Sus scrofa: one gene and its partner. The protein of the gene in region 2 interacts with the protein of the main gene of each other region in a pairwise test. Links are inferred from orthologs where the notes say so. Each region holds a gene or a part of one and is shown on either strand. Other genes may lie near its edges.

What was found. The genes of interacting proteins can lie anywhere in the genome.
Region 1: the proteins of KLHL42 (region 2) and SERTAD1 interact in binary tests that used the Homo sapiens proteins (3 or more experiments, as listed by UniProt). The two-hybrid records come from large-scale screens. The link is inferred for Sus scrofa from reciprocal best matches to the Homo sapiens genes KLHL42 and SERTAD1.

What each region holds. Positions count from the first base shown.
Region 1 is NC_010448.4:48,698,706-48,705,023, forward strand, and holds SERTAD1 (SERTA domain-containing protein 1), read right to left. Parts: upstream 3,744-6,318; 5' UTR 3,570-3,743; intron 1,605-3,569; coding exon 885-1,604; 3' UTR 176-884; downstream 1-175. UniProt on the Homo sapiens protein: Acts at E2F-responsive promoters as coregulator to integrate signals provided by PHD- and/or bromodomain-containing transcription factors. Stimulates E2F1/TFDP1 transcriptional activity.
Region 2 is NC_010447.5:45,951,354-45,957,831, reverse strand, and holds the start of KLHL42 (kelch-like protein 42), read left to right. Parts: upstream 1-2,944; 5' UTR 2,945-3,061; coding exon 3,062-3,933; intron 3,934-6,478. UniProt on the Homo sapiens protein: Substrate-specific adapter of a BCR (BTB-CUL3-RBX1) E3 ubiquitin-protein ligase complex required for mitotic progression and cytokinesis. The BCR(KLHL42) E3 ubiquitin ligase complex mediates the ubiquitination and subsequent degradation of KATNA1.

The sequences.
Region 1 (6,318 bases), on a different chromosome or scaffold from region 2:
GTTTTTTCACCATTTTCCTGGAGAGCTGGCCCTCAGAGACTCCATCCAGCCTCCAGCGTTTGTGCTTGAATTTCTGGCTCATTCTGAAAGGTCCCTTCTGCTCCCACCCCCAGGCCCCAAGACACAGAAGTAGATTCCAGACAAGGACCAGATTTCATTTTTAATCAGTGGCCTGGGGCTTCTCCCCTGCTGCCGCCACCTCTGTTACGTACACACACAGGCACATCAGGGAGACCTGGCTGAGTATATTCCAGGAGTCTTCTAAGGGGACCAGTTACCAGACCCAACTGGTCTACTTCTCAGACCAAAAAGCAGTACAGTTTGAAACCTAGCTCTTCAAGAGAGGACCTCTTGGAGCCTCAATTTTCCCAGCTGTGTAATGGGGATAATAATAATGCCCCTCTGGTTATGAGGATTAAATGAGTTAACACACATCAAGGGCTTAGAACGGTGCTGGGGTTGGGTGTGCAGTCCACGCTTGATCCATGTTATAGGTTATTATCTTACCCTCGCCTTAGCCCAGAAACAAAGCAGTACACAGATTTGAGACTTCCCAGGACCGGCTTTAATTTCACAGAACTGGTTGGGGTCTCTTCCCACATCAGTGAAAAGGGATACTAGGCTTTGACCTCTGGGAATTCAACACTGGGCCTGGTCCAATCACATTCCAGCCACCAGGTCCTGGCATTTCATCACAGGAGCCCATCCCAGACTCCCCCCATCGGCCATAAGTGAAGGGGATGGAGGGTGGAGGTAAACTTGCCCAGGACAGGATTCCTTCTCTCCAAAGTCCCTCTCTAGGGAAGCCGGCTGTGTCTTTAAGGAGAGTTGGTCCAGCCACCAGGCTCAGTTTCGACACCAGCTCACCACTCCATCCCTGGGGGTCAGCGCCCCGGCCCTGGTGGCCGCTCCAGTGCCTGTGTGCCTACCAGCACGTCCATGAGGTAGTCCAGCTCGGCCTCGTCCAGCTCTGGAGCTTCCTCCTTGCCTGGCCCACCCTCCGGGCTGGATTTGTGGCCCTCAGAGGCTGGTGCCCAAAGTTCACTGTCATACATGGAGGTGTCAATGTCCTCAAACAGGCCCTCAAGCCCATCGTCCAGCAGACAGCCAGTGGCCGGGCCCAGTAGGTCCAAGGCACCCAGGCTGGGTGGGGCTCCCCCAGTGGGGCGGCCTGGTGGCCCCTCATCTACCAGGGGCTGGGGGGCCTGACTCAGGCCCTCAATATGGCTGAGGTCCTCCAGGAGGCTGGCCATGGAGGCCGAGAGGGCGGCGTCCGAGCTGGTCAGCAGGTTGTCCACCACACCAGGGGATGTAGGCGGGGTGGGCACAGGTGGCAGAGCAGCCGCGGGTGCCATGGACGCCTGGATTCGCCGTAGCGTGTTCACAACCAGCACCAGGTGCCGCAGGTCCGGCTCACTCTGCCGCAGGCTGTGATGGAGCTTGAGCACCGAAAGGTCGAAGAGGGAACTGGAGGCCACCGACTGGGGTGCCTGTGCCACTGCTGGGTGGCCAGAATCCAGCCACCAGGCGTCAACTGCCAGGGCTTCCTTCTCCTCCTCCTCCTCCTCCTCCCGCTTTCGCTTCAGGCCCTTGCTCAGCATCATCTGCAAGGAAGGACAGTCAGTCAGTTATGGAAAGCCAACGTGAAGTTCTGACAACTGCTGTGTGATCTTGGGCAAATCACTTAACCTCTCTGACCTTAGCCTTTCTTAGGGAAACTTTAGAATATGAATGATATTTGTATCTATTTCCAAGAGGTTTTGTTTGTTTGGTTTTGGTCTTTTTAGGGCCACACCAGCATTATATGGGAGTTCCCAGGGTAGGTATTGAATTGGAGCTGTAGCTGCTGGCCACATCCACAGCAATGCGGGATCCGAGCCTCATTTGTGACCTACACCACAGGTCACAGCAACCCTGGATCCTTACCCACTGAGCGAGGCCCAGGAGGGAACCCTCATCCTCATGGATAAGAGTTGGGTTTGTTACCCCTGAGCCATGACAGAAACTCCCCTAGAGGTGTTTTAAGGAATAAGTGAGATACGAAAAGAACTTACAACAGTGAATACGTATACAATAACTCCCATAAATAATACTATTAATATAACTATTATTTATTTCTTCAGTGAAACATGTAAAATGTCCAATAGTCTAAACTTTCTTTTAACCTGCGAGGCAGCTGTTTCACGTGCTTTAATCTAATATTTATTGGGGTGCCTACTAATAGTATCAGACAACCAATACATAAACAAATACAGGAAGTGTTAGAAGGTGCTAGGAAGATACCAAAAGGATCTGAGCATAGTCAGGGAAGGCTCCCCCTCCGAGGTGACTTTGACAATCTTTGTTTGTTTGTTGGCTGGGCCTGTGGCATGTTGAGGTGACATTTGAAATGAGCCCTTAAGTATGAGAAGGAAGTAGCCATGGAAGAACCTGGGGGAAGGCATTCCGGGAATAAAGGACAACCGCAAAGGCAAAGAAAGTCTTAGAGGCTGGAACAGCTTGAACTGAAAAAAAACTCTGAGGTCAGTACACAGGGCGACATGGGGGCAGGGAGGGAGAAGAGCGAGTTGGAGAGGAGGCAGAGGCAAGGAGCTTGGAGTTTATTGTGAGTGTGGTGGGCAGTCACTGAAGAGTTCTGAGCAGGGAAGAGAGTCGCGTTGTGGACTGATTAGGTTTCCAGAAGATCCCCTAGGCTGCTTTGGGGAGCAGGGACAGGGAGGGAGGCTGGAAGAGTGTGGCACTGCGATCCATTGGAGGCTTGGGGTGGGCGATGATGGTGACTTGGGAGTAAAAGGCGGTAGTGGCCATGGAAGGAAGTTGGTCGATTCAGGATTTATTTGAGAGGCAGAATGGACAGAGCTTGCCGGACAATCCTGATAGGCACAGGGGTCACCGAGAGAAGTTTGAGAACCCACACTTTGCCCGGGGTGGTGCCCTGGCCCAACCTGATTTTTTAAATCGGGCAGCCTGCAGGGTACAGTGGGTACTGGGATCCTTGCCTAGCAGGACTTTAAGACGGACCGCTCACACTACTCAAAACTGGGTCCTCTCTTCCTTCCCAGCCGACCCGGGAGTCCGGAACCGCAGGAATTCAGCCCCCACCCCCGACTCCTCCCCCGTGTTCCGGCGCCCCCTAGCGGCCCCAGGACGGCTTTCTTCCGGGGACTCCGGCTCCTCAGACCCCCCCGGACCCTTTATGCTGCCGCGCGGGACGTGAACGTTCCTGCCAGCCGCCCGGGACCGTGCGAGCCGGAATACCCAGAGAGCTGTTCTGCTCTCTCGGCCTCCGCTCGCTTCCGGAAGGCAGTGGAGGCGACTCCTCCCGAAGCGGCGGCGGCGGGGGCGGGTGAGTCACACAGCCGGAGCCAGAGAGCCGGCGCCTCCGCCCCCTTCCCGGGCTGCGGCGTGATTCACCCGGCCCGGCCGGGGCGGACGGCCCTTAGAGGCCCGTGCGTCTCGATTCCAGACAGCCCTGGTTCGCACCTGCCGGACGCAGGGATCGAACCTGCCAAAGGACCCCGCGGCCAGTACCCCTTCTTTCCCCTGGTTTCTTCCCTTCATTTACATACCCAGCTCACAAACTGCCAATCAGGACGAAGAGGGAGCCACCCGCAGCCAATCAGGAAGCGGTGGCGGCAGCATTGCTCGCTCACTCTCCTCCAGCAACCGGAGCCTGGCTTGAGAGACGGAGTTCTGACTCCAGCGCACGACTTCAGGCTCTCCACTCCTCTTAGCTACCGCCCACTCCCCTGGAGGCCCCGCCCTCCACTCAGGGATTGGTCCTAGATGGCGATGGGCGGGGCCTATAGGGGGCAGGTTCGAAAGGAGGGGAAGTGGTCTTCAGGGCGCATGTCCGGGCAGCTTCGTGAAGGAACCGGGGAGAGAAGGTGGGGTGGCTCTTTGCCCTGTGGGACGGTAGAGGGTGGCGTTTGTGTCTCTCCTTGTGCTGCCCCCTCACACCTACCCCCGGCCCCGCCAATTCCAGCAGTTGAACTTCTTACTCACCCAGCCCCAACAGGGGTCTACACTCTAAGCCAGATAGACCCGGGGTTCAAATTCTCACTCGATGCGAGAACTTGGAAAGACGCTTGACATCTCTGAGTCTGTTAAATGGGAGATCTTCTTGCCTAGCTCTTGAGAGTTAGTAAAATTAAAATAAGGTCGTCTCTGTAAAAGCACTATATCAGACGCTACAGATGCTGGGCAGGTGTACTCAATTGTGGTTACAGGAACTAGGAAGGGAGGGGTGGGATGTCCCTGGAGCCCCTTCTTGGGCTCCCTTCCCTAAGTAGCTGTGTGACTTTGCACAAATGTTTTAGTTTCTTAGGAGCATCTCCGTTTCCCCACCTCTAAAATCAGACAAATAGCATCTGGCTCAGAGGGTTGTTTTTTTTTTTTTTTTTTTTTTTTTTGTCTTTTGTTGTTGTTGTTGCTATTTCTTGGGCATATGGAGGTTCCCAGGCTAGGGGTCGAATCGGAGCTGTAGCCACTGGCCTACGCCAGAGCCACAGCAACGCAGGATCCGAGCCGCGTCTGCAACCTACACCACAGCTCACGGCAACGCTGGATCGTTAACCCACTGAGCAAGGGCAGGGATCGAACCCGCAACCTCATGGTTCCTAGTCGGATTCGTTAACCACTGCGCCACGACGGGAACTCCAGAGGGTTGTTTTAAGGATTAAAAAACAATTGGTGCAAAACGTTGGAAGTGGTGTGTGACAACGTGTCCTTTCGTAGTAATGGCTGTTGTGGTAATAGCACAGTTCAAGGGGAGACACGCCGGATGGGATGAAGGTAGACAGCAGTTTTATACTTGTTGGCTAAACTGACAATGGGTCTTACCTTCTTCAGTAGCTCGTTTGCTAACTCTTCAGGCCCTATGGGAAGAACTGTTTGTGAATAAAGCCCTTGACCAAAGTAAGCCATCAAAAATGCTAACTAGACTGGTTGATTCAGACAGCGATTATCAATGGATGCTCAATCTCAAGTGTCTAGATCCAACTCCAATTTCTAGGGAACAGAGAGTGAAAAATTAAACACGAAGGCAATCAGGCAAATACACAATGTAGGCTGCCTACAGCACCACAGGGTTATCCTATCAGAAATTCAACTTCAAGAAAACACAAGAAGGGATTGGGGGAGGTAGATATTTCAGAATACCAGAGACTATATAATTTCTTTATTAAAACCAAATAGGCATCTGAATCTGCATTCAATCATGATTGGGGGCTGGGGTGGGCAGAAACTCCTATGAGAGATATTCTTGAGAAAATTGAGGAAATTTGAACATAGACTGGATACTAGATGATATCGCGGAATTTTAAATTCTCTTAGATGTGAAATGGATTAATAAGTGAGCATCCTTAATCTAAAGAGATGCCTGGAGTTCCCATCGTGGCGCAGTGGTTAACGAATCCGACTAGGAACCAGGAAGTTGCGGGTTTGGTCCCTGCCCTTGCTCAGTGGGTTAACGATCCGGCGTTGCCGTGAGCTGTGGTGTAGGTTGCAGACGCGGCTTAGATCCCGCGTTGCTGGGGCTCTGGCGTAGGCCGGTGGCTACAGCTCCGATTCGACCCCTAGCCTGGGAACCTCCATATGCCGTGGGAGCAGCCCAAGAAATGGCAAAAAGACAAAAAAAAAAAAAAAAAAAAAAAGAGATGCCTGCTGAACTACTATATTAGGGGTAGAATGTCTCCAATTTACTCTCCTTTGGTTCAGAAAAAAAAAAGTACGTATACAGATACACAAATGAAGATAAAGGAGACAAAATGTTAAATCTAGATGGGAGAATATTCAGGTGCACAGAATACATGCGGTTTTTTCCCCATCTCTTCTATGTACTCGAAATTTTTACTAATAAAAAGGTGAAATGCTAATTACAACAAGATCCCTGCTAGGCAAATTCACATAATTTCTCTCACAACCTATTTTTTGGGCCTGGTAAAAAAGGAGTCTCCAGGTGGCTCTTTCCAGGTCATACAGGGAAGAAGAGCTCCTAGGAGTCTGAGGAGTTTGACTAATGTGTATTGAACACCTACTGTGTTGAGGTACAGTTGTAAACAATGAGGGTACATCACTGGCTATACCTCACAGAGTTTCTCTTCTCATGGATAAAGGGACAGCGTGGAAAGAAAAGAAATATGGAGGAGTTCCCGTCGTGGCGCAGTGGAAATGAATCTGACTGGGAACCATGAGGAGGGGGGTTCAATCCCTGGCCTCGCTCAGTGGGTTAAGGATCCTGCGTTGCCATGAACTGTGGTGTAGGTCACAGACACAGCTTGGATCCTGTGTTGCTGTCGCTCTGGCGTAGGCCAGTGG
Region 2 (6,478 bases):
CTAGTTGGATTCGTTAACCACTGAGGCACAACGGGAACTCCTCTTTTTTTCTGTTTAAAAGGCTGCACATGTGGCATATGGGAGTTCCTGGGCTAGGGGTCCAATTGGAGCTGCAGCTGCTGGCCTACGCAACAGCCACAGCAACGCCAGATCTAAGCCCCATCTGTGACCTATGCCACAGCTTGCTGCTGGATCGATCCTTAATCCACTGATAGAGGCCAGGGATCGAACCCCCATCTTCACAGACACTATGTCGGGTTCCTGCTGAGCCACAATAGGAACTCTTATTTTCCATAATTCTTAAAGAAATAGCCTAACTCTGTGTTTGACCATTACTTTTGTCTTTCATATAACAGATCATGATGTAAGTGTTTGAAGTGAATCACAGTACCATAAAGGCCAGTCTTTATTATTCACCAATCAGTCAATAACAGATCTATGAGTATACATTACAGACAAGCAACATTTTCATGAAGCTGAAAAATAATTTTAGGTCTTTTGTAAATAAGGAGTTATTTATGTCTATGTTGCTTTGACTTTGCATTTCTCCCTTAACAGAAAACTTACTTTATGAGTTATGAAAATGATTTGATCTTTAAGCAGCTTCCAGTTCTAAATGACTTTATTATCATGTCAGGGGGCCCAAAAGCGTACTGGACCATTGCCCAGTATTGTCAAGCTGACACCCCAGCTTACTTACCCAAGATCTGCTCTGATGTTACCGCGTGTGAATTGCCTTTATAATGTGTGTGATTCTGTGAGCGTGATTTTTTTGTCTCTTTTTAAAAGGCAAGAAAAAACCAGTCTGAGGCTTATCTATGACGGCTGGGAAACAAAAGCATCTATTGGCAAAGGATTCTAAGGGACCAGGGAAAGATTAAGAGCCTGTTCTTCACTGACCCACTGAATCTGGCATCACTGCTGATGAAAGGAGAGACAAAGAAATCCCAGGTCCAAGACTCTTTGACTCTGGGGGTGTTCTCCCAGCAAAACTTACCCAGCTAAATGCCTAATCCTGGGCATGGAACGTTACCTTCCCAAAGGGGATGGTAAATTCATGATCACTCCCTCCACACGAACTTTAGATGTCACACGCTCCCTGAGAACAGACGTGTGAGAGGTCCAGGAGATAATGGAGTTTTACCAGTGATGATTTAAAGGCCAGGTGAAACAAGTGAAAGCTAAAAGTTTTTCCCAGAATCCAAGAAATAACTTGAAAGAGGCAAGTCAGTCATCTTTGTTTTCTTCACTTTTCCTAGGGAGGCCAGAATCTACTAGAATTTTTTTTCCCTACATCTTTAAAATTTTAGTTCCTTGTTCATGGTGTATAATAAAGAAAACCATGCTCTCTATGAAGCAGCTAAATTATAAAGAAGCACAAAAGCAACCAAACAATGTGTTGAAAGGATTTTATGATTTACTATAAAACTTTTTTCTCTGGTTTTTAAACCCTTCCCAACATAAAATATTGATCAGCTGTTGTAGGAAGTATCTTTTGTTTAAAATACTGAGCCAATGTACTGATGAAGAAGTTACTATGTAAACGACTTGTCATTCATGAAGAGAGCTAAAGCCTGTAATAATAAAAGTAAATCTAAACACACATTCTTCCCAAGTTGAGAATTACTAGACTTGGTTCTCAGTCTTGGTCTGGGAAAGTTCCCAGGGGGTTTTGAGTAAGATAAGACTAAACACACATAGAGTTGCCTTGTGGCTCAGCGGATTGAGGGTCCCGCGTTGTCACTACTGCAGCTCCCGTCCCTATTGTGCAGGTTTGATCCCTCGCCTGGGGAACTTGCACATGCCACGGTGCCACAAAAACAAGAGGAAAAAAACCAAAAAAAACCCCTACTCTACCCTTCTAAGATTCATTCATACCTCCAAGCAACACAAGATCTTTTGGGGGGTGAGGTTTCTATTTGCAACGTTCGGTGGGAGAAGATGCGGAAGAAGTAGTCCTCAGTTGGAGCGGACAAGGGTAGGAGAGTGGGTAAGAGGGTGGCAAGAAAGGCCATCTCTGTAGGCAGATATGAGCAAAAGCAACCAGACCTTCTGCCCAGAGAGTAATAACATTCCGTGACGGCTAGCCCAACCAAACTGAAATTAGGAATGCCGTGGCTGGTAGAAAATAGCATAAAAGGAGGCACGTGATCTAACTTGATTTAGTTGAGTTGAACTTCTTTCTTTTACTGGCCTAAGGAGAACAGGCCCCAGCAGCAAATACGAGCTCCCCTGCTTCCCAACCCTTTCCATCGGGTGCATCGGATGCACGCAACGCACTGAGCCCTGCAGAACCTGCTGCCATCTAGCTGGACCTCCTTCCTGCAAGATGGCTCCTACACGGTGACCATTCCCAAGAATCAGCTCTAGGTGCCACCTCCACGTCCAGAGACTGCCCGTGGGCCTCAGTTCCCCGGACAGGATGTCGGACTCGGCCGCACGAGCGGTCCCAGATGTGTTGTCTCTTTGACCCCCTGGACCCCGACTCTTTTCATCTCCTCCCTCCAACCCTCGTTTCTTTTGCTTCTTTCCTTCTCGCTGGTCGAGCGGCGCGGAAGAAAAGGCAGCCGGCCTCACCCCGCCTCCGAAGCATCGACGCAGACCGGCCGGGCTGCAGGGTCGCGGCGACCGGCGTGCGGGGGCGGCTGTGCGCCTTCCCGGGTCCCGCAGCCTTCCAGCCCTCCCCGAAAGTCCAAGCCCGCGGCGGGGGTCCTGCGGGCGGAAGTGAGAGGCCAGGCGTGGGAGGAGGCTCCAGGCAGACGGCCCGGGACGACCCGAGCAGGGAGCGCGCATCGCCCGGGCCTTTTTTGGCGCGGAGGGAGGCCGGAGGGGCCGTCCACCGCGCCGAGCCGGGAGGGTGGCGAGGCCGAGCCGCCGCCTCCGGGACTGGGAGGAGGGGCCGTCTCGGGGGCGCCGCCGCGGCCGGGAGAGGCTGGGCGGGCGCGGGCGGCCCTGCGCCGCCGCCGCCGCCGCCTCCCAGCGCCAGCGTTCGGCAGCCTCCCCGGAACCCGGCGAGCGCGGAGAGCTGGCGGGAGCCCCCGCTGCCCCCGGGCCCCCAACCATGTCGGCCGAGGAGATGGTGCAGATCCGTCTGGAGGACCGCTGCTACCCGGTGAGCAAGAGGAAGCTCATCGAGCAGAGCGACTACTTCCGCGCCCTCTACCGCTCCGGCATGCGTGAGGCCCTGAGCCCGGAGGCCGGCGGCCCCGAGGTGCAGCAGCTACGCGGCCTCAGCGCCCCGGGCCTGCGCCTGGTGCTGGACTTCATCAACGCCGGCGGGGCCCGCGAAGGCTGGCTGTTGGGCCGACGGGGGGAGCCGGGCGGCGGTGGGGAGGAGGAGGAGGACATGGACGAGGTGAGCCTGCTGTCCGAGCTGGTGGAGGCGGCCTCCTTCTTGCAGGTCACGTCCCTGCTGCGGCTGCTGCTGTCCCAGGTGCGGCTCACCAACTGCCTAGAGCTGTACCGCCTGGCGCAGGTGTACGGGCTGCCCGACCTGCAAGAGGCCTGCCTGCGCTTCATGGCCGTCCACTTCCACGAGGTGCTCTGCAAGCCCCAGTTCCATCTCCTGGGGTCTTCTCCTCCGGCCCCCGGGGATGTCAGCCTGAAACAGAGGCTGAGAGAGGCCCGGATGACTGGGACTCCTGTGCTCGTGGCGCTGGGTGATTTCCTGGGGGGACCCCTAGCCCCTCACCCCTATCAAGGAGAGCCCCCGTCCATGCTCAGGTACGAGGAGATGACCGAGCGTTGGTTCCCGCTAGCCAACAACCTCCCTCCAGACCTGGTGAACGTCAGGGGCTATGGGTCCGCCATCCTGGACAACTACCTCTTTATAGTGGGCGGCTACAGGATCACCAGCCAAGAGATCTCCGCGGCCCACTCCTACAACCCCAGCACCAACGAGTGGCTCCAGGTGGCCTCCATGAACCAGAAGAGGTAAGCAAGCGCCCAGCCGTGCTGCTGCTTTCCCGCCTTCATCTGTTCACGAATTTGGTCCCCTAGTGTTTGCTGAGCAGTCACAGGAAGTTGTGCTGGGATGGGAATGACATCCTGGGGAGCGTTGGTGGCCTTTGGCAAAGTTACCCATGAACTTGGCAAGGAAGCCGAGGCCCCAGTGAAATCAACTATCTGAGTCATTTATTTGCAGATATTGCACCTTTAGACTGCCCCCCCCCCAACTTTGCGTCTATCTCAGTGGAAAAAAAAAGATGTGTGTGGTTTCCTAGAAGGATACCTTTAAAGAAAACTGTAATTTTGCTTTTATTTTTACCTTTTTATTTTTTAGGAACTAATGCTGATTATAATGACACATGGGGCAGTAACCTGTAACACTGATGTTGGCGAATCTTGTTAATGACCTTGAAGCTTTAAGCACTGGGGCACCAACCTGTGATCAGAAAATAACCGTTAGAATGTCAGCTGTATAGGAGATCATCTTTATTTTTTTATTCTCTCTTTTTGCAGCTCACTTTCTTTGCAGACAGTCTTCATCATGGACCCAAAACTTGAGCCTTACATTGGTCACCTGCAAAATTAGAACATTTCCATTTGTCCCAACCTTCTACCTTCCCATCCTGCACATCCCTCCCAACATGCACTGGGGTGACTTGAAGAAAGGAGAAGAAAAGGAGATGGGGGCAGGGGGAGACAGAGCCAGGAAAAGAATAGGAAAACAAGAGCAAAGAGCATTATAGGAAGAAGTGGTAGAAAGAAAGATGGTAGGGCCCAAGATGGCCTAGAGCCATTCCAAAGAGGGGAGAAGAATCAATGTAACCCAAGGGAGGACAGGAATACCCTTTCTTCTGGTCCACCTGTATCCATCTCAAGTACCACCAAGATGCCTGCCCTGAAGTGTGGAATGAGGATTTGGGAACTCACAGCCATGCAAAGAAAGTCTTAACAGGAATGGGAAAGTCATCACACATATTTACTTGACTTAAAGTCCTCCCCCAAGGCTGAGCAGTTGGGGGGGGGGGGAAGGGAATGAGTCCTGGCCTTTTTTCGACTGTAATATAAAATTCAATTTGGAAGGTTTTTTTTTTTCCCCTCATAATAAAAAATACAGAGTTATTCACAAAAAATAGAAAAACGTCAGAGAATGAAGAAGCAGAAAGACTGTCACTCCTACTTTCTCCTTCCTGGAGGTGATAACCATCTAGAGGTTGGCGAATTTTCTTCTAGGATCTCTTTGTTGCATTGCATTATTTGCACCAAGGGGGATGTTACTGTATTTAAATTTTGATATCAGAATTTTTTTTTTTTTTTTTTTTTTGACTATGCTTGCAGCATGTGGAACTTCCTGGGCCAGGGATTGAGCCTGAAACACAACAGCGACCCCAGTCACAGCAGTGATAATGCAGAATCCTTAACCCACTGAGCCACAAGGGTACTCCATCAGAGCGTTATTTTATTTCAGTTTTTGTCTTTTTTTTTTTTAGGGCTGCACCTGTGGCATATGAAGGTTTCCAGGCTAGGGGGTCTAATCAGAGCTGCTGCTGCTGGCCTACACCACAGCCACAGCAACAATGCCAGATATGAGCCACGTCTGCTCCGTACACCACAGCTCATGGCAATGCTGGATCCTTAACCCACTGAGTGAGGCCAGGGATCGAACCTGCAGCATCATAGTCCCCAGTCGGATTCCTTTCCGCTGTGCCGTTACAGGAACTCCCAGAGCATTATATTTAAACAGATTTTAAGAGTGTTAGTTGAATCAACAAATGACCGTGTAGTGGTGATGGGCAATGCTCAGATTAGGGGTAGAAGGCCTGGCACGTTGTCTGTCGCCTCCTGCTGTATGGTGCTCAGCACACTAGCCCTAGCTCCACACCTCTGACATGAAACATTGTAGGATTCTCGTCTTTCTCCACAAATTCTTGGTAGTCCTTTTTTCCCCTCCTAGGAATGCTGTTTTTGTCCTCTTTGGGGGGAAAAAAATTCAAATAATGCATAAATACATGCTTAGAAAAATTGCAAATGGCATGAAAAGCCATGGAGTAAAAAAAAAAGGTGCATCTATAGACATTTATAAACATACATTATAAATGTATTTTTATAATTATAAACGTATATAAATATGATGATAGTGGCCGAGGTGGAAAAATGCATATATGTGTGCATGTACATGTGGGATGTATATACATCTTATACATATTTTTATTCTAAAATTGATTAGCTTTGCTGATTTTTATGGCCCTTGGTATTTCCACTCAGTTTTTGCTGTATCAGCTAATGTAGATCCACTTCAGGCTTGTCAATGGCTGTGTAGTATTCCAGCCTATGGACACACTGTGCTGTAATTAGCCCTTCCCTAATTCATGAGTATTTAGGTCACTTCCATTTACCATTTTTGAACAGCTTGGTATATGTGTGCCTATCTTAGTAAGCATATGTGTGTTAGTTCTATAGGGCAAATGCCTGGAATCTCTGGATAGGTGTGGTAAAGGGTATGTACATTTAATTTTTTTTTAATGATTTTTAT